Linked DNA regions of Callithrix jacchus. The protein of the gene in region 3 interacts with the protein of the main gene of each other region in a pairwise test. Links are inferred from orthologs where the notes say so. Each region holds a gene or a part of one and is shown on either strand. Other genes may lie near its edges.

The links.
Region 1: the proteins of ANXA11 (region 3) and TFG interact in binary tests that used the Homo sapiens proteins (3 or more experiments, as listed by UniProt). The two-hybrid records come from large-scale screens. The link is inferred for Callithrix jacchus from reciprocal best matches to the Homo sapiens genes ANXA11 and TFG.
Region 2: the proteins of ANXA11 (region 3) and PDCD6 interact in binary tests that used the Homo sapiens proteins (3 or more experiments, as listed by UniProt). The link is inferred for Callithrix jacchus from reciprocal best matches to the Homo sapiens genes ANXA11 and PDCD6.
Region 4: the proteins of ANXA11 (region 3) and phospholipid scramblase 1 interact in a two-hybrid assay, tested with the Homo sapiens proteins (2 studies listed by BioGRID and IntAct). The two-hybrid records come from large-scale screens. The link is inferred for Callithrix jacchus from reciprocal best matches to the Homo sapiens genes ANXA11 and PLSCR1.

What each region holds. Positions count from the first base shown.
Region 1 is NC_133516.1:91,882,709-91,887,271, reverse strand, and holds part of TFG (protein TFG), read right to left. Parts: intron 2,286-4,563; 5' UTR 2,243-2,285; coding exon 2,059-2,242; intron 1-2,058. UniProt on the Homo sapiens protein: Plays a role in the normal dynamic function of the endoplasmic reticulum (ER) and its associated microtubules. Required for secretory cargo traffic from the endoplasmic reticulum to the Golgi apparatus.
Region 2 is NC_133503.1:205,761,203-205,765,362, forward strand, and holds the end of PDCD6 (programmed cell death protein 6), read right to left. Parts: intron 2,710-4,160; coding exon 2,600-2,709; intron 1,842-2,599; exon of another isoform or gene 1,839-1,841; coding exon 1,740-1,838; 3' UTR 1,277-1,739; downstream 1-1,276. UniProt on the Homo sapiens protein: Calcium sensor that plays a key role in processes such as endoplasmic reticulum (ER)-Golgi vesicular transport, endosomal biogenesis or membrane repair.
Region 3 is NC_133513.1:50,366,848-50,371,410, reverse strand, and holds part of ANXA11 (annexin A11), read right to left. Parts: intron 3,557-4,563; exon of another isoform or gene 3,424-3,556; intron 3,236-3,423; coding exon 3,140-3,235; intron 2,056-3,139; coding exon 1,997-2,055; intron 1,801-1,996; coding exon 1,678-1,800; intron 1-1,677. UniProt on the Homo sapiens protein: Binds specifically to calcyclin in a calcium-dependent manner. Required for midbody formation and completion of the terminal phase of cytokinesis.
Region 4 is NC_133518.1:38,663,994-38,668,556, reverse strand, and holds part of phospholipid scramblase 1, read right to left. Parts: exon of another isoform or gene 3,862-4,563; coding exon 3,638-3,861; exon of another isoform or gene 1,016-3,637; coding exon 973-1,015; exon of another isoform or gene 945-972; intron 1-944. UniProt on the Homo sapiens protein: Catalyzes calcium-induced ATP-independent rapid bidirectional and non-specific movement of phospholipids (lipid scrambling or lipid flip-flop) between the inner and outer leaflet of the plasma membrane resulting in collapse of the phospholipid asymmetry which leads to phosphatidylserine externalization on the cell surface.

The DNA.
Region 1 (4,563 bases), on a different chromosome or scaffold from region 3:
AAAAAAAAAAGTTGATCAAATTAAGGCACACATTTCAACGTCACAGAGGTGAAAGTTAATGTATTATAAGTGGAAGAAAACAGGAAAAAAATTGCTCTCCTTTACTGTTTCACATGGGCAACTCTCAAAATTTTGTTTTGGGTGCTTAGAATACACATTATAAAAAGAAAGAATTATACCTATAGCTAGATGGCCAATTTATCACCAGTGATTCACTCTTCTCTTCCACAGCATAAGTTGTGCACAGCGGCTGCTCAGCCAGGGACTACACTTCCCAACCAATTTGCCTCTTAGAGTCACGTAACTGGGTACTGACCAACGTGATAAGGGCAGAAATGACATACAACACCATCAGGCCTAGTGAGTAAAACCTCCCATATGATTCTTCATACTCTGTCTTCACTCATCTGCCTGCCAATGTCAATGCCTACGGTGAGCTTATGAACAATGTGTTTAAGGTAACAGCTTCTTTCAGCCTGGATATCTGAAAGATGTCTTGACTGTTAAACCACTCAGATTCTAAGATTTCTAATTCTATCTGCTGGCATTACTTTAAGCCAACACTAACACAGACATTATATGTATTGTATCATTATGTGATAAGAAAATCAGATTAAGTAGTGCCAGAGATGTTAAGAGGTAAAAGTATTTAACAAGGATGGTGTGGATAGCAGTGCTAAATAGTGAGGTCAAGATGAAATACACTGCAAGTAAGTTCAATATAAAATCACACATTGGGGTCTGTTGGCAGGAAATAGGGGAGGGACTGCAGAGGGGTAGGAAGGTTGGCAAGGGATAACATGGGGAGAAATACCAGATACAGGTGACCGGGGAATGGAGGCAGCAAAGCACACTGCCATGTACCTACCTATGCAACAATCCTGCATGTTTTACACATGTACCCGAGAACCTAAAGTGCAATAAAACGTGTGTGTGTGTGTGTGTGTGTATATATATGTATTATATATGTTTATATTTTTTATATACACACACACACAGACACACACACACACCCCATTGGTAACCACCTAAAAAGAAAATTTCAGCAGAGATGTTAACAGAGAAGGCAGGTTAAAGAATAGGAAATGGCCGGGCGCGGTGGCTCAAGTCTGTAATCCCAGCACTTTGGGAGGCCGAGGCAGGCGGATCACAAGGTCAAGAGATCGAGACCATCCATGTCAACATGATGAAACCCCACCTCTACTAAGGATACAAAAAATTAGCTGGGCATGGTGGCACGTGCCTATAATCCCAGCTACTCAGGAGGCTGAGGCAGGAGAATTGCCTGAACCCGGGAGGCGGAGGTTGTGGTGAGCCGAGATCGCGCCATTGCACTCCAGCCTGGGTAACAAGAGCGAAACTCCGTCTCAAAAAAAAAAAAAAAAAAGAATAGGAAACATAGTCTAATACTATAATCCGTGTTTGCTAAAACATTTTTCATGCAAAACCTATTTCCATAAAAAGAGTTTTATCGACAAATGAGTCTGGGAACACTGTACACTACAAATTTTTGAAAACTTACATAAGAACATTACATATTCTGAAAATTCCTACAATAAAGAAACACTTTTGTCTTTGTTTAAACCAGCTTTCCCACACTTAGTTGACCATGAAATCCTTTTTCATTCAATACATACTACAACCTTTCTTTCACTGGAAAATCAGAATAGAAAAGAAAAATTTTAAGCTAAAAGAAACCAGAATTATATGGACAAAAGGAGAAAATGATGCTTGTGAAAATGTTATAACACTTAAAATTCCCTTCTAATAAACCACTTAGCTATTTTCAAATGATCAAAAAAAAGAGTCCAATAAAAATGTGCAGAACAACACATACAATACTTAAGACTTTAAAGTCAGACATTGTAGTTCATTCCTGTAATCCCAGCACTTTGGGAGGCGGAGGCAGAGGCAGGAGGACTGCTTGAGCCCAGGAGTTCAAGGTGACACTTATCTGATCACACCACTGTACTCCAGCCTGGGCAACAGAGAGGCTCTGTCTCTTTATAAATAAATAAATGAACAAACGTTTACAAATAGCTTTAAAAACACTCTTACCTTCATCTTTATACTTTATTGTTACTTCGTCATTACTCAGAAGTTTTCCTCTGAAAACTCGTTGCATCATTAGCACTAACTCATCATAAGTAATATCTTCATTATGAATAGGAATTCGCCGAATATCCTCCCCAAGTTGAGCTTTGATGATTAGCTTCCCACTCAGATCCAACTGTCCATTCATGGTAGACTCCAGGATGTTCTATATATAGAACTCTAGAGAAAGGCTGATAAAAGTGGTTTTGATAATTAAACAACAAAACATTTCTTAAAAGTTGAGAGTTACTACTAGATGCTAAGAAACTCTGGCCTCCAGAAGATTCATTATCCCCATGTTACTGTATTTGTGTTAAAATGGCCTGGAGGCAACATTATTTTACTGTAGAGATAATAAAATAAGCTTTTATTTTATGTCTACTATTATTTTATCTATGTTTAACTGTTTATCTGACATTACGACTTAGATTTTTCTTTACATCAAAATAAATTCCTAGTCTTCCCCACCTATGCCTCTCCTATAGGCTTCCCAATCTCACTTCCTCTGAGTTGTGTAAGACAAAAAAAATCTTGGTTGATCTTTTTCTCAAACCTTACATCCAAACTACCAACAAAATATGGTTGCCACTACCTTTAAAATAACTCTGGAGTCCAACCACTTCAGCACCTTCACTGCTATCAACTTGATTCAAGCCACTATTATTGCTTACCTTAATGACTGGAAGACTCCTAACCAGTTCGCCTGCTTTTTACCTTTGCCCACTTTTAATCTAGTCTCAGCACACCAGAGTTAAGCCAGTTAAATAAAACCTAGTATCATTCTGTTCAAAACCTTCCAATGCATTCCCATATCAAAAACCAAGACCTATAAGGGCCCCCAGCCCCTGGCCAAGTATTTAACTTCATTTCCTACCTCTCTTCTTCACTCACCGTCACACCCACACTTCAAGTTTTCCCCTTGTCTTGAACCTTTCTGGTAGCCCTCATATGATTCAGATTACTTATTAAATGTTAATTTTTGAGAGGTCTTTCCTAACCATCCAATTTAAAATGGCTCCCCCATCATTATCTTATCCTGCTTTTCTTCGAAGCACTTAACATCACCAGACATTAAAATTTTGTAACTTTTTATTGTCTTTTCCACTTGATGGTACGAAGTTTTTCATACTCCCAGAGCCTACAAGAGTGCCTAGCAGACCGGAAGTCATTCAACAGCTGTTAAATAAAGGGAAAAATAAATACTGGCTTCAAAACGCTATTATCCTACAACAATAAAAGCTAACTCTATTTGAGTTAACTCAAATAGAGCCTCAAGTTTTTCTGAGAAAGACCTCATGAGGATGTTCTTTCCTCTCTATGTGGAGGAACTGGAGGAGAGAGGACAAATTAGTAATACCTACCTGAACTTTTAAAGACCATCCACTACTGTGCTGCTTACTCCATAACTTTCCCACCTGGGTGGGTGTGATCTGGACCGCATTCTTTATTAAATAAGACAGTATCAAACAATTAGCCGCTAAATACTAACTTGTTATAGAATTTTCCCTTAGGTTTTATTTTAATCTTTAATTTTATTCAGTATGACTATCCTGTAATGACTGCGTATTTTTATTTTTATTTTTTTTTGAGATGCAGTCTCACTCTGTCACCCAGATTGGACTGCAGTGGTGTAATATGGGCTAGCTGGAACCTCTGCCTCCTGGGAAATGATTCCCATGCCTCAGCCTCCTGCGTGGCTGGGACTACAGGGATGCACCACCATGCCTGGCTAATTTTTGTATTTTTTAGTAGAGATGGGGTTTCACCATGTTGGTTAGGCTGCTCTCCAACTCTTGACCTCAAGTGATCCACCCACCTCAGCCTCCCAAAGTGCTGGGATTATAGGCGTTAGCCACCAAATCAGGCCATGACTGTGGAATTTTAAATTCAAAATAATGTTGAAGGTCTCTAGCAAGTTAAATGGTTGCTAAATAATAACAGAGGATATACTTATGATCAAATAATGGGTTAATATTTCTTCTTCTCAAGGCCAAGATGTTCCTGAATGTTATCTATAATCGCTGAACATTTTCTAGGCATCAACTCCTTCCTCCTCCTGCTCCAAGAAAAAGATCTCTTGAGACTTTTTAAAGTGTTCTACAACATTCTAGTTTCAGCTTCCCACCTCGCTAATAAGCAGCTTTCTGTTTCCTCTTCCTAAGACTGTTGTTTCATTAACACCACACTTCTCTGCAATTATTCTTTATTCTTTTGGGGTATGTGAAAGCACTCACCTGCTCCTCCAACACATCAACCCTTCAAGTACTTGAAAAAAGTTTTCATGAATCCAATTTCATAAGTATTATACATTAATGCCCTACTATTCTTCATATAAATACCCTAGGTCATTTCATCTAACTAGTCCTTAAATGAATTATCTTTAGAACCCCTCCACCATGCTCTGAACAGATAGATATTAATAAATCTTTACTGAAATGGGTCATTAAAACCAAATATAACACTCTAAAG
Region 2 (4,160 bases), on a different chromosome or scaffold from region 3:
CCTGCCACACCCAGGCCTCCTGCCCAGTGATGTTCTGATCCACTAACCATGGGCACCACTGATGAGAAACTCAGTGCCAGCCCCGCTGTGGCCGCCACAGGCCCCCAACAGACCCCCAATTTCTTATCAGCGACACCCACCAGAACCCAAATCTGAAATCTGAATACCCCGCCCACTTCTCCAAGGAAAGCTCTGGCTTCAGCAGGTCCTCAGGGAGGCCCATGTACCAGTGTGAGGGGTGGGGGTTGCAAGGGGATGAGGTGAGCAAGGCTGCAGGTGCTGCTGGGGGACACACACACCAGCCAGGACCGCAGGACCAACATATACAGCCACAGGCAGCACAGACAGCTGTGGGCACAGATCTCCCGCAGCCTGGCAGTTGGCTCGACCAGCAGAGTGGCCAACATGGAGCAGACAAGGGGACCACACAGGGCCTGGGCACCTGAGAAGGGGCCAGCACAGGCTGCCGGTGTGGCCAGAGGGAGCAGCCAGACTCCCAAGCCCATGTCCCTCCTCCTCCCCCCATCCCCGGGGAGCCAGGAGTGCCTGCTCCAGAGGGATCTGTAGCCAGAGGGCCCCAGGACAAGCGCAGGTGGGTGGTGGGGAGGGAGGGGGTCCCACCTGGAGTGCGAATACAGCCCCAGCCCCCCAGCACGCCTGTCCAGTGTTAAGAAATGGGGATATTTTCCAGGAAACCACGCCCCCTACCTGTCACCCCGAACATGCTGAGCAGGGGTTTGAACAGGTAGAAGATCCTGAGACATCAAAACAGAAAAGCTGTGCAGGCCAGCATGGGAGGAGCAGCGTCAAGGCAGAGACGAGGCTGCAGCCCTGACACCAGGCTGTGTAAGGAGGGCAGCGTCCAGAGAACGGGGTGGGGCCCGGGAGCGTGAACCCAGGAGGGCCCAGCACTGAGCAGGGAGGGCTGAGGCGAGCAGGGGACGCGCTGGCTGGCCACGTGCGAAGACTGTGGCTGACGCAGGGCAGAGCGTGACTAAATCATTCATGATGGAAATACATGACCTGCTAAACCAAATTAGACTTCTTCGTCCAAATGGAGCAGTTTTATGAAATGTAACCACCTCAACCGATGGTGGGACAATCCCTCTGGATTTTCACAAGCAGAGCTGTGCACGCTGGGCTGAAGAACGTTCCAGAAGGTGTCCAGGACCTTGGGAGGTCCCAAGTGAGCCAGCACATCTGACAGTGACCGTCTGGATGACCAGGCCGTGGGGCTTGGTTCTGACACCCGTTTGATTTGAGCTGAAGGCGGACCACGCGTCTAACATCCCTTTATTGTGTACATTGCATATTCCAATGACTACAATAAACTCTTTTTAAAAAGTAAGGCACATGAACAGCCTTCTGTGTGCAGGTTCTGTGCGACTTTAAAATTCCTACTGACTAATAAAAGCATTTCCACTATAGACCAGAGATATCTAGAAAGCTCATGACAGACTTTGCAAGCAGAATGCCTGAAACATTACTGCAGTTACCTCATGGCACAATGAGACAGTCACCAAACCCAAGGCTTGTGTTATAATGATACAGCTCCTGTTAGGGTTGCAGACGCATTAACCAGCGTATCCACATATGTACAGCCCGGTCCCCACGTGGTCAAATCTAAAGGAAGAACACCATCTCACTGCATCCGCGTTCCATTCCCTCACAGGTAGGAACTTGGGCTTTTTGGCTCTTTTTTCCATACGTCGGTCCCGCTGCTCTTCATGAGGCCAGGGTCATACGATACTGAAGACCATGGACAGATACTGTTCGTAGGACACCTGAATCCAGCCGTCCTGATCCGTGTCGTAACGTCTGAATATATCCGTCAACCTCTGGGGAAAAAGCAGGCATTTAAATCTCGACAGATGTGGGAACAAGGTGCACTGGGAGGAAGACATTAGGGGCCCAACTTCAGGAGCACACATGCCATCTCCTGATGGAGCCAGCACAGGGAGATACAGGTGAGGCAACAGAAAACGTGTCCATTTTCTCAGAATAAAAATTTTTGCAAAAATCGCCATAGTTGGCCAGACACGGTGGCTCACACCTGCAATCCCCACACTTTGGGAGGCTGAGGCGGGCAGATCACCTGAGCTCAGGAGTTCAAGATCAGCCTGGCCAACATGGCGAAACCCCATCTCTACTTAAAAAAAAAACACACACAAAAATCTGCCAGGTATTGTGGTGCACTCCTGTAATCCTGGCTACTGGGGAGGCTGAGGCAGAATCACTTGAATCCAGGAGGCGGAGGTTGCAGAGATTATACCACTGTACTCCAGCCTGTGTGACAGAGTGAGACTCCATCTCAAAAAAAAAAAAAAAATACACCAGGACATAAGTGTAAATAACCCACCAGATACCACCTAAATGGCGTCTTCCAGATGGGCTGCTCTATGCCATTTCCAAGGGAAGGAAAACATGCCTGTCCACACTTCACTAACCAGCTACTTCTCCAAAGATGAGACTAACTTTTATAAGCTCCAAAACCTAATTCGACATACGCCTGATTCCTTAGATCAATGGTCAGGCGCACCTCGTGGGTGGGCAACCCCTTCCCGCCCCCACAGCAAACCCACGAGAAGCCACTGGTCACCTGCAGGACGATGCAGCCCTGGATGAAGTCGTCGAAGGCGATCTGCCCCCGTCCCTGCCTGTCAAACTTGCGAATGAGGATGTCGTGGAACTGGTCAGAGAGCCGGTAGCCTTGAGGAGGGAAAGGCGGGGTCAGGGAGGGCTGGGAGAGACTCAAGGTGTGTGCCAACGCCCACAGCCTCCCTCCCAAGGCCCACAGCCTCTAACACACAGTGCAGGGCTGGGTGGGAACAGAAGTGCAAATTCACTCAAAGGCACTCAGAACTGAGACACTTCCCGAATACATGGTTCTGTAATGAGCTTCTGTCCCCAGTGCATGAAGTCACCCCTTGAGATCATCACCCTGGAAGGAGGAATGCCTGGGAAGCTGCCATTGTCCTGAAAGCTGGTGTGAAGTCACTCGTGAAGTAACCACTCATTCCAGGGAAGCACTCAAAAAACACCCCCCACGGGGCGCCACGCTCAGTTTCGTGAACCCAGTGAGTTACTTTCTAAAGTCCTTGTTGATCTTATTATGTTTATTAGATAAGAAAATTCTGGATGATTCACTGCCCTGGGTTGCTCATCACCAGACAATGCTTTGAAACTAAAATTTCACAGGCGGCTTCTAGTTACACCAAGTGTCAATGTAGGAAAATGGGAGTAGCTGAGGGACGCGTTCCTCTACCATGAGGGACTGAAGAGCACAGAGGCAGAGCGGCCACAGAAAGGACCAAGTCACTGAAGGGCCACCAAGGGCTAGGATTCCAATATCCACAGGGCCACTGCCTGTCTGGGTGCTCCCTGAGCGTGTCCTGAAAAGGCCTCCCAAGGCAGACGGCTCTGAAGGCGTGTGGACGCACCAGGTGTCCTCAGCCACCCCGGAGGGCATGCCCCGCCTGCCCCCTTCCCTCGAATCCCACTACCTGCATGACTGTGGCATCCTTACTGACTCCGGAGGCAACAAGCAGGTGCCAGTATGTTTTTACTAGTGTTCAGCCTCGCCAGAATCTCTGCAGGGACGTGTGCACCTGCACCGACTGTCTAAATCTCACAGGTGATCGCCTCCACAACAGCCATTCCACCGACAAGAGTCAAGCACACAAACAGGAACACAGTGCCTTCCAGAGTGGTCAGGGCGTTCTGTCATTTAAGTTCAGGGGTCCCTAAATGTGTGACGGTGGAGCTGCTTCAGACCCTCCTTCCCTGCAAGCTGAGAAGACAGGCCCTCCCATTAAATTCAGAAAGAGACAGCAGAGTTGTGAACAGCTGCCACTTCCCCTGGTCCCCACTACTCCTACCTCCTCACTCCCCCCACACCCGTGCTGGGGCTAGGATCACTTGCTGAGAACAGAGCCTGGGACACAGGCAAAGGGACATTGCCTGTCTGTGTGTGCACGGGGGACAGAGGCCATCACTGCGGTGCACAGGGGACAGAGGCCATCACTGGGGTGCACGGGGGACAGAGGCCATCACTGGGGTGCACGGGGGACAGAGGCCATCACTGGGGTGCACGGGGGACAGAGGCCATCACTGGCCTCTGCAAACACTGGGGAAGGACAGAGGCACAGGATTTCCCGTCA
Region 3 (4,563 bases):
GAGGCATGGTTGCTTGTAGCCTCTGGCTCCTGATTTTCTGCCCTGAGTGCCCTTATAGGGAGGAAGCCCCATCCTGGGAAATTTTCCCCTGCTGCAGGTCCTGGAGCAGGCGCAACAGATCTTAGATAACACAGTTTCACCTTCCCCAGGTCCCCATTAGAAGATGGAAAGCTGCACTCACCCCAACTATCCAAGTCAAATGAATACCCACAAAAAAAATTATAATCGTCCTAAAAACCACTTCCCAGGGCTAACCAATACTGCTTTTCCCAGTGCATTTATGCTGCCTTAAATTGCGGTTACCAGTTTAATGCAACAGTCTTCTGCTCAGGAAACGCAACCTCCTCACACATGACTGTCCAGTGAAGGGCTCCAGCCTCCCAGGTCCCATGGATCTCTCCTCTGTCTGAGGCCACTGCACTTACTCTAAGAGTGCAGGCTCAGCTTGGCTCATTTCTAATCATTTCCTTCCACCCTAAGCAACTTGAGAGCAAGGCATGTAGCTTCTTCCAGATGTCCACAGCCCGCTGGCATGCAGGAGATACTCTGTAAAGAATTACTAATTCTCTTCTGTTTTTTGTTTTTTTTTTTTTGAGATAAAGTCTCAGTCTGTCACCCAGGCTAGAGTGCAATGGAACAATCCAAGCTCAATAAATCTCCGCCTCCCAGGTTCAAGCAATCCTCCTGCCTCAGCCTCCCAAGTAGCTGGGATTACAGGCATGCTCCACTATGCCCAGCTAATTTTGTATTTTTAGTAGAGAGTGTTTCACCATGTCGGCCAAGCTGGTCTCGAACTCATGACCTCAAGTGATCCACCCACCTCAGCCTCCCAAAGTGCTGGGATTATAGGCATGAGCCACTGTGCCCAGCCTAGAATTACTAATTCTCTAGCAACAGCTTCATTCATACAGCCAGGTAAAGGAAGTGAGCTTCTCGTGATGACATGCCCACCATCATCAAATGCTACTGAGTCTAAGGTGGGGATGTGGTCCCATGGTGCAATTTCAAGGCTTACATGAGTTCAGAATTGGAGTGTTAGACCAGGCAGTTGAATATATACTTTGTCAGACTTGCTCTGCTGCATAGTGATACACAGTGGCTAGTGTTAAACAGACACTTGACCTGCACTGCCTCACTCAATACTCACTACTTTCTTGGGAAGGAATGATTATTTTCTCATTTTAAAGACAATGGAGCTGGGGTGCAGGGAGGTTTAAGGAAGCTGTTCAAGGTCACTCAGTTGGCAAATAGAAAAGCCGGACTCCAAGTGGCGTGATCCCCAGGGCCCTTGCTCTGAATGGCCTTCCTATGTGTCCTACGTCATAAACCTGAGTGCAAGAAGTGCTTAGTCAGGTCAGCACATGAGTTCTCACTGACAGATTGTGGAATCACAGGGTAGCCGGAACACTGAAGGTCAGGGTCAAAGTTGGGGAGGTCCTGAGTATTCTCTGATGCTGCTGGGGGACGCAAGGTGGGGGCGACAGCAAGGTCATGACCCACCTGCCCTCAGAAGCTTATAATCTGTTTAGGGGCAACGGGATAAGCAAGTCCAAGGTCCACAAACAAGATGCCCATACATGGCACAGGGGCCAAGCATATGGCCACTTCAAGGAGGAAAGGTCCACAGGTGACTGGGATGCCAAAAGGAAGCCCAGTCTGGCTGTAGCAGGCCCGTACCGAGATGTCGTGGTACAGCGACTTGCCATACATCCGCTTATACTCCGATCTGATGTCCAGTAGGTCAGTCTCGCTGCGAGACACCATGATGCGAATCAGGGTCCGGTCCTTTGTTCCTGCACCCTAAAGAGAGTCCACCCAAGAGCATGAGCATCAGGCTTCCTCACTTCCCACCCGCCCTGGGCCCTCCAGTCAGTCCCCTCCCAACCCAGGTTCTCAGAACTCTCGGCTGAGATTTAGCTCTCCCCAGGCCTACTACCCTCAGCCCTTGGCAAAGGCGAGGCTAAGGCATCCGGATCTACACATGCAAGTTACTTACCCTCATGGCCTTGTTGAGCCTCTCCGCAAAGAAGGCTGGGGTATTCTTGAGACATTTCACTAGAAGAGAGAAACACGGCATAACCAGATCTGCAGAAAATTCTCAGCCTAAGCCAGGCATGGAGTCTACAAGTGTCCTCTTAGAGGCCCAGATGTCAAACCCATCACTGCATCCATCTTTTCTCCTCCTCCTCCTGTTCCAGACTCAACTATCCTACGATCTTGGCTCCAGTTCTTTGGAACAGTAACACGCAGAAACAGGATACCAACCCACCCTCTTTCCTGGCAACCACTGTGGTGAAAAAGCAAGAGCCAGAGGGGAGGGGGTCTTCGTGAGGCTAGGAGCTGCGCAGGGAAGCCATGTGGATGGTGATGAGGAACTGTGTTGCTGCTCAGGCAGGAGGGGCAGACTGGAGAGGCTGTGCCCTTCATGGAGAAACCGTGCTGAGTGGAATGAGCATCTCCCTTGGCTGCCCAGGCCACAAGACCTACTGTGGGGGCAGGCAGGGAAAGGCGGATTTTCCAGCTCTCCCATCCAGAAAGTTTCAAAAAAAGCATAATGAAAAAAAGGGGCAGACTGATTTTCCCAAGTGAGTAGAAAGAGAGGTTGTGAGGGCCTCAGGGTGGGGACCCAACTCTGCACAGCAGGGAGGGACCTGGAGCCCGCCAGGCCCTGCTGGAGGACACAGGCTGAGTAAGAGGCACACTACCACCTCTGAGCCAAGCCAGCTTTCCTCAGCATGGGCCTGTTTCGCTGTTGCAAGTAAAAATCTTTCCACGCGTTTCCATCACAAACATCTGACAACTGTCTGCAGGGATGTATTTTTAGAGGAAACTTGGCAGGATATGAGTCATGCTCCTCCGGGAGTGCTGCTGGATGCCCTCCCACTAATACCCACACTGCAGTTCCCTTCTCTAGGGCTGTACCACAAACACAAACAAGATGCCTCTGGGACAGCGAAGGGTTCCATTGCATAGGGAAGTGGCATGACTTCCCAGCATCTGGACACTCTGGGTTGAGCAATCTTGGCTCCTGTGGTCCTTTAACAATGTTACCCCTAAGCTAGAGGACAGGCGAGCACCCTGAACACTCACAATACACATTAGTCCCTGGCAGGAGGGCAGGCAAGCCCAAGACACTTACCCACGGCCAGCATGCCCTGCTCCAGGTCCCCAGACATCTCCCGGCAGATGCTCTTCTCAATGTCCCGGCCTGTCATTCTCTGGTACTCATTGAAAACTAGGGGGATGACATAGAGAGGCTTATATTATGAACTGAAATGTGTCTCCCCGAAGTTCATATGTGGAAGTCCCAACTCCCAGGACCTCAGAATATAACCGTATTTGGAGACAAGATCTTTAAAGAGGTAATTAAGTTAAAACATGCTGCTAGGGTGTGCCCTGATCCAATCCGCCTGGCCTCCTTAGGAGAAGAGGAAGTTAGGAGACAGAGACCCCAGGGATGTGCGTCTGCAGAGGAAAGACCATGTGAACACAGTGAGAGCCACGAAGAGGCAGCAGGAAAAACCGGTGCCGCTCTTGGACATCCAGCCTTCAGAATGTAAGAAAATGAATGTCTGTTGCTTAAGCCACCCAGTCTGTGGTATTCTGTCATGGCAGCGTGAGCAGGCTAACAGAGGACTCACATGAGGTGACCTCTGCCCTAAGACCCCCTGCCTTCCACTCTGCTCCCTCACCCTGCATGGCCCCAGGCCTGCCCAGCTCTCAAGAAAGCCAGAGTCTTCATCACAAGTTATGTGTGCTGCCTAGTGTCCCTCCCTGTAGTCCCCTTCTCAGGACTGCCAATCTGTTTAACCAAATAACACCTTAATTCCCCTCCAGGGCTCACTCCCATTGCACCCCAACACAGTGTCCCCTCTTCTCAAATCCCCCACACCTCCAGTCTCTGCCATGCCTTGGCCTTATTCATGCATCTGTGTCTTCCTCAACCTGCCTGTGAGCTGAGGCCCAGCCTGCCCCAGACAGCCTGGCTTTTTGCTGCCCACCCCTGCCAGTCCAGCTCAACCTAGGACATGCTAAGCACCCACGGGAGTGGACGGCTGGCTCCTAAAGAGGCAGGCGGCATGATGGAGACCTGGGTCCTGAGTCCAGCTCTGACGCAGGACATAAAACTTTCCTTCCTCAGCCTGAGTGTCAGCTTCCATTTGCATACTAAAGTCATGATTTCTGCTCTATCTTTTTCGATTATTATCTCTTCAAATCAGCTCTGCAGTTCCAGAGCCACAGAAACCTTTGACAACCAACAGCTCTCTTACCTTCCACATCCAGCCCAGACCTCTCCTGACCTCCACGCACAGCAACCCAGAAGCCTCCCTGTAGCTCCACCCTACAAGCACCTAAAGCCAGCTCTACCTACAGCTCCCCTATCTCAATTGAGGGCCACTCCATTCTCCCACCGCTTGGCCTAAAGAAACCCTACATAATCCTCAACACCTCTCTGTCCCACATGCCACGTGTCCAATTCATCAGCAAACAGGGCTGGAACGTGATACCCCTCACCACAAGCCCCTGCCGCCACTGTTCCTCCCCTGGGCTCCTGCAGCAGCC
Region 4 (4,563 bases), on a different chromosome or scaffold from region 3:
TTTATAGCCTTAATAATATATACCATAAAACATTAAAAAATTCAGAATACAAAGCTCTCTTCCAGAGAGAGCTTTGTTTAGATTTTTAAAAATCAGATAAATTTTAATTGTCTAATAATGTGCATTATAAATAAATTAATAGATGACAATTGTATATTTTAGCCAAATCCATTATTCTGCTTGTACAATTTCTAATTTTTACCAGTGGAAAGAAGCCTGGAGACAGGTGAAAATGAATTTAACATACATATTCCTAAAAACTGGTAGAGTTTTTATTAAACCTTTTATATCTAGAAAGAAAACACTATGGTTCATAAATCTACCCAGGGTCTTCTTCCCCTGGCAGCTATTGTAAAACAGTAATTGTCTTCCTAAGTTTATTCTTGCACCTAAGGAGTCCTGGACCCACGGAAATGTAAGGCCATTCAGCAGGAGTGCTCTTCTATGAAGCCAAGCCTGCAGGCTAGTTGGTCAGCATTCTCCAATGCCACAGTGCCCTGCATCCAACCTGGTATACAAAGGTTTTCTTGGGTTCATCTTAACTCCTAAGAGAAACTGTGGGAACAAATGATAATTTTCCAATATTTTCTCATCCAAACACAAAAGATAACTTACTTTTGAATATGACTCCGTGCCATTCTGAAGTTGATCATAATTACAGAGAAAACAGTTTAAGTAGTAGAAGCCAGATAAAACGTGATGTATGAAGAGAGGAGCAAAATAAAGGTTTTGACTATTTTCCTTTTAAGTTAGTGTCAATATCCCGAGGAAAGTGCCCAGCATAATGGCATTTTACTTTTTGATTCCTAAATTTTAGAAATGAATTGCTGATGTTTATTATTTTGTTATAGTAGATAACCAGTTTAACTGTCCCATATAAGTGAGAGTGTTATATTTGTGAAATCTGATGTTTCTTTATCTGCATAAACTTTTATTCTTTTTAGAAATAAGATTAATACAATGAACACCCACCTTCCAGAAGTTCAATTTGTTGATGAATCAGTATCTGATCTATCTATTATAGGAAAAAAAAAGTGGTAAGTATATGTTAAATGAAGGTTTTTTTAAGCCAACCAAATTAAAATTCATGTATTTATATATTTAAAGTACAGGGAATCAATTATCAACATTTAATAGCTTATATTACTTTTTAGTGTAAAACAAGTTAATATTTTTAATTAATAAAATATTGTGTTTACAATTAACGTGTGGAAATTTAGATCAAATAAAATTGATTTACACTGGAGTAACTTTAAAAACTAGAAAATTGATACAAACGCTCGGTACTTTTATGAAAAAATGCTTAACATCACTAATCACCAGGGAAATGCAAATCCAAACCACAATGAGATATTATTGTTGCCCAATTAAGAATGGCTATTATCAAAAAGACAAAAACTAACAAATAATAGTGAAAATGTGGAGCAGGGAAGATTTGGTGAGAAAGTAAATTAGGACAGCCATTATGTAGTGCTTCCTCAAAAACTAAAATTACAACTACCAAATTGAATATTCAGCAATCCTACTACCATTTTTCCAAAACAATATTTTTTTCAAATTTTTCAAAATTTTCAAAACAAAAATTTCAAAGGAAAGGAAATCAATATGTCAAAGAGGTATCTGCACTGTCATGCTTATTGCAGCACTAGTAGTCAACATGTAGAATCAACCTAAGTGTTCATCAATAGATAAATGAATACAGAAAAATTCTTTTTTTTTTGATATGGAGTCTCACTGTGTCACCCAGGCTGGAGTGAAGTGGCACGATCTGGACTCACTGCAATCTCTGCCTCCCAGGTCCAAGTGATTCTCTACCTCAGCCTCCTGAGTAGCTGGGATTACAGGCGCCTGCCACTTTTTTCTAATTTTGTTAGAGATGGGGTTTCACTGTGTTGGCAGGCTGGTCTCGAATACCTGACCTTGTGATCCATCCACCTCGACCTCCCAAAGTGCTGACATTACAGGCATGACCAGCTGAAAAATTCATTCTTAATACACACAATGGAATAAAAGTCAGCCATAAAAATGAATGAAATTCTGTCATTGGCAGCAGCATGGTGAGCCTGAGGGACATTATGTTAAGTGAAATAAGCCAGGTACAGAAAAAAAAAAAAAATACTGGATGTTCTTATACATGGAAGCTTAAAAAAATTGATCCCATGGAAGTAGAGAGTAGAACAGTGGTTACTAGAAACTGTGAAGGGTAGGGAGGAGGGGTATAACCCGAAGTTGATTAATGAATACAAAATTATGGCTAGAGAGGAGGAATAAATTCGAGTGTTCTATAGCTATGTAGGCTGCCTATAATTAGCAATAATTTATTGTACATTTTCAAATAGCTATAAGAGAGGATTTGGAATGTTCTCAACACTAAAAATGATAAGATGTTGAAAGTGATAGATATGCTAATTACCCTGATTATATTATTACATATAGTCTATGTGCATTAAAGTGCCACACTGTACTCCATAAATATGTACAAGTACTATGTGTCAAATAATTTTAAAAGTAGATAACAATCTTTCTTCTGGAAGAGGCTCAAGAAATATTGATAACTTTTTTAGCCATCAATTTTCTACACGTTTCAAATTTGTATTAATCATACTTAATATCAACCTTTGTCATATGTGATAACATCCTTTATGTATTTTACGACCCTGATTTTTAAAATACCTATTTTTATATATTTCTTGCATGATATAATAATGACTAAAAATTCCTATGATTGTGCCACTTAAGTGCATTGTGAGAAATTAAGTTACTAAACACAGTGCAAGAAAGAAATGATTCATGAAATAAAAACTGGTTGAATATCACAAGAATATTTGTTTTTATTTGTATAAACTGAACACACAGAGTTTCTTGTTTCTATTTGACCTACTTGATTTCTAACACCACATAAATGTTAAACCTCTTATTGCTGAGACTAATTAGAATTTAGTGGAACAAAATCCAGGACTTTTTACTCCTTTATTAATGACATTTATATAATTGGATCTTTCAAAAAACAAAAGCAGCATCATAAAAATGTAGTTTTATTAGTTAAAATAAAAAGGTGTGTCATATTGCACATAAAATATTAACCCCTTGTTTGGTGCCACTTATTGAAACTCAACAATAAACTATATTTAAATTTTATTTCAAATTATAAGGCAATTATTCAGTATTGAGATTAAAGAGCACCATGCCCAGTACCAAAGTTTCTGGATTGAAAAACCATTCTCAACTCTTTAGGTTCTCACCCCAGAGTGAGAGATATAAATTCTCTGGACCTTAGTTTCCTCTTTTGAAAAACGGAACTAACTGTAGCATTATATATCACAGATTTTCTGTAAGGATTAAATGAGTTAATACATGGATAATGTATATGACAAAAACAAGAAAAGAGTACTAACTAAATGTTTGCTATTGGCTATTATCACAGATTGTATTTAGGATCACAGAAAATACTATTTTCTAAGGCATTTGTATTTTGCTTTAAAATTGAACCTGACCTAAAAGAATTACAGTAAACTGTTAGCAGAAAATGTAGTTTTGCCATTTCAGACTTTGATGAATTATTCATTTGTTAATCTGGTTTCTCAAGCTGGAAGCACAGTTCTGTTTTTTTATGAGTATGTTGTGTCCTTCAAATTACCTGACTTAAATATTCTAATCCAGGTGGGCAGTTTAATGGAGTCGGTGGTGCTGGCATCCATGGTACCCCTGCAGCTCCACCTGGCTGATTATACACTGGCTGATTTGGGACAGGAAAGCCAGCTGGCCCAGGACCTGGATGGCCAGCTGGTGGGGGTGGGTAGCCGATCTGGGGCCCAGGGTAGCCGACCTGGGGCCCAGGGTAGCCAGCATATCCTGGAGGTCCTGAAATGCAAAAAAGTGAAATGATATATAACTGCACCAAAAATGGAATCGTCAAGCGTTCTGGGGTTAACCTATCTATCTATATGTTGACATTTCAGCATAGATATCTGTATCCGTGATGTTCAAGATATGCTTTTATCTTTCTGAGAATTTTCAATGAAATATCTGTGGTTGCACAACCACTTCTATTTTGGGTTAGTAGGCTGTAAATAGCCTTACCCATACCATTCAAAACTCAGATGGAAAATATGCTTTAATATCTGAGAAAAATCAAAGTAAATAACCATGATCTAGAGTCACCTACATAAAGATTCTGGCAAGCCTTCAAGAGAAAGAGAGAAGGCATTAGGTAGATGGCCCAAAATAATGGCTTTGAGTCAGCATTTCTAGGGCCAAAGTATCCTATGAAAAAATGATAATTCTGAAATTCTAGCAAATGACTTACATATGTATAGAACTGGGGGTAGTTTTGCCCCCCTCTTCCAGGGATATTTGACAAGATCTGCAGACTTTTTTTGGGGTCACAACTGGAGAGGAAGATAATACTGCATCTGGTGGGTAGAGGCCAGGGCTGCGGCTACACATCTTAAAAGGCCCAGAACAGCTCCCTAAAAATGAAGAATTGTCTAGCCCCAAATACTGTAGTGCCACTGTTGAGATATGAAGGTGAAAGCATGTCATTTCTTTTAGGACATTCCAGAT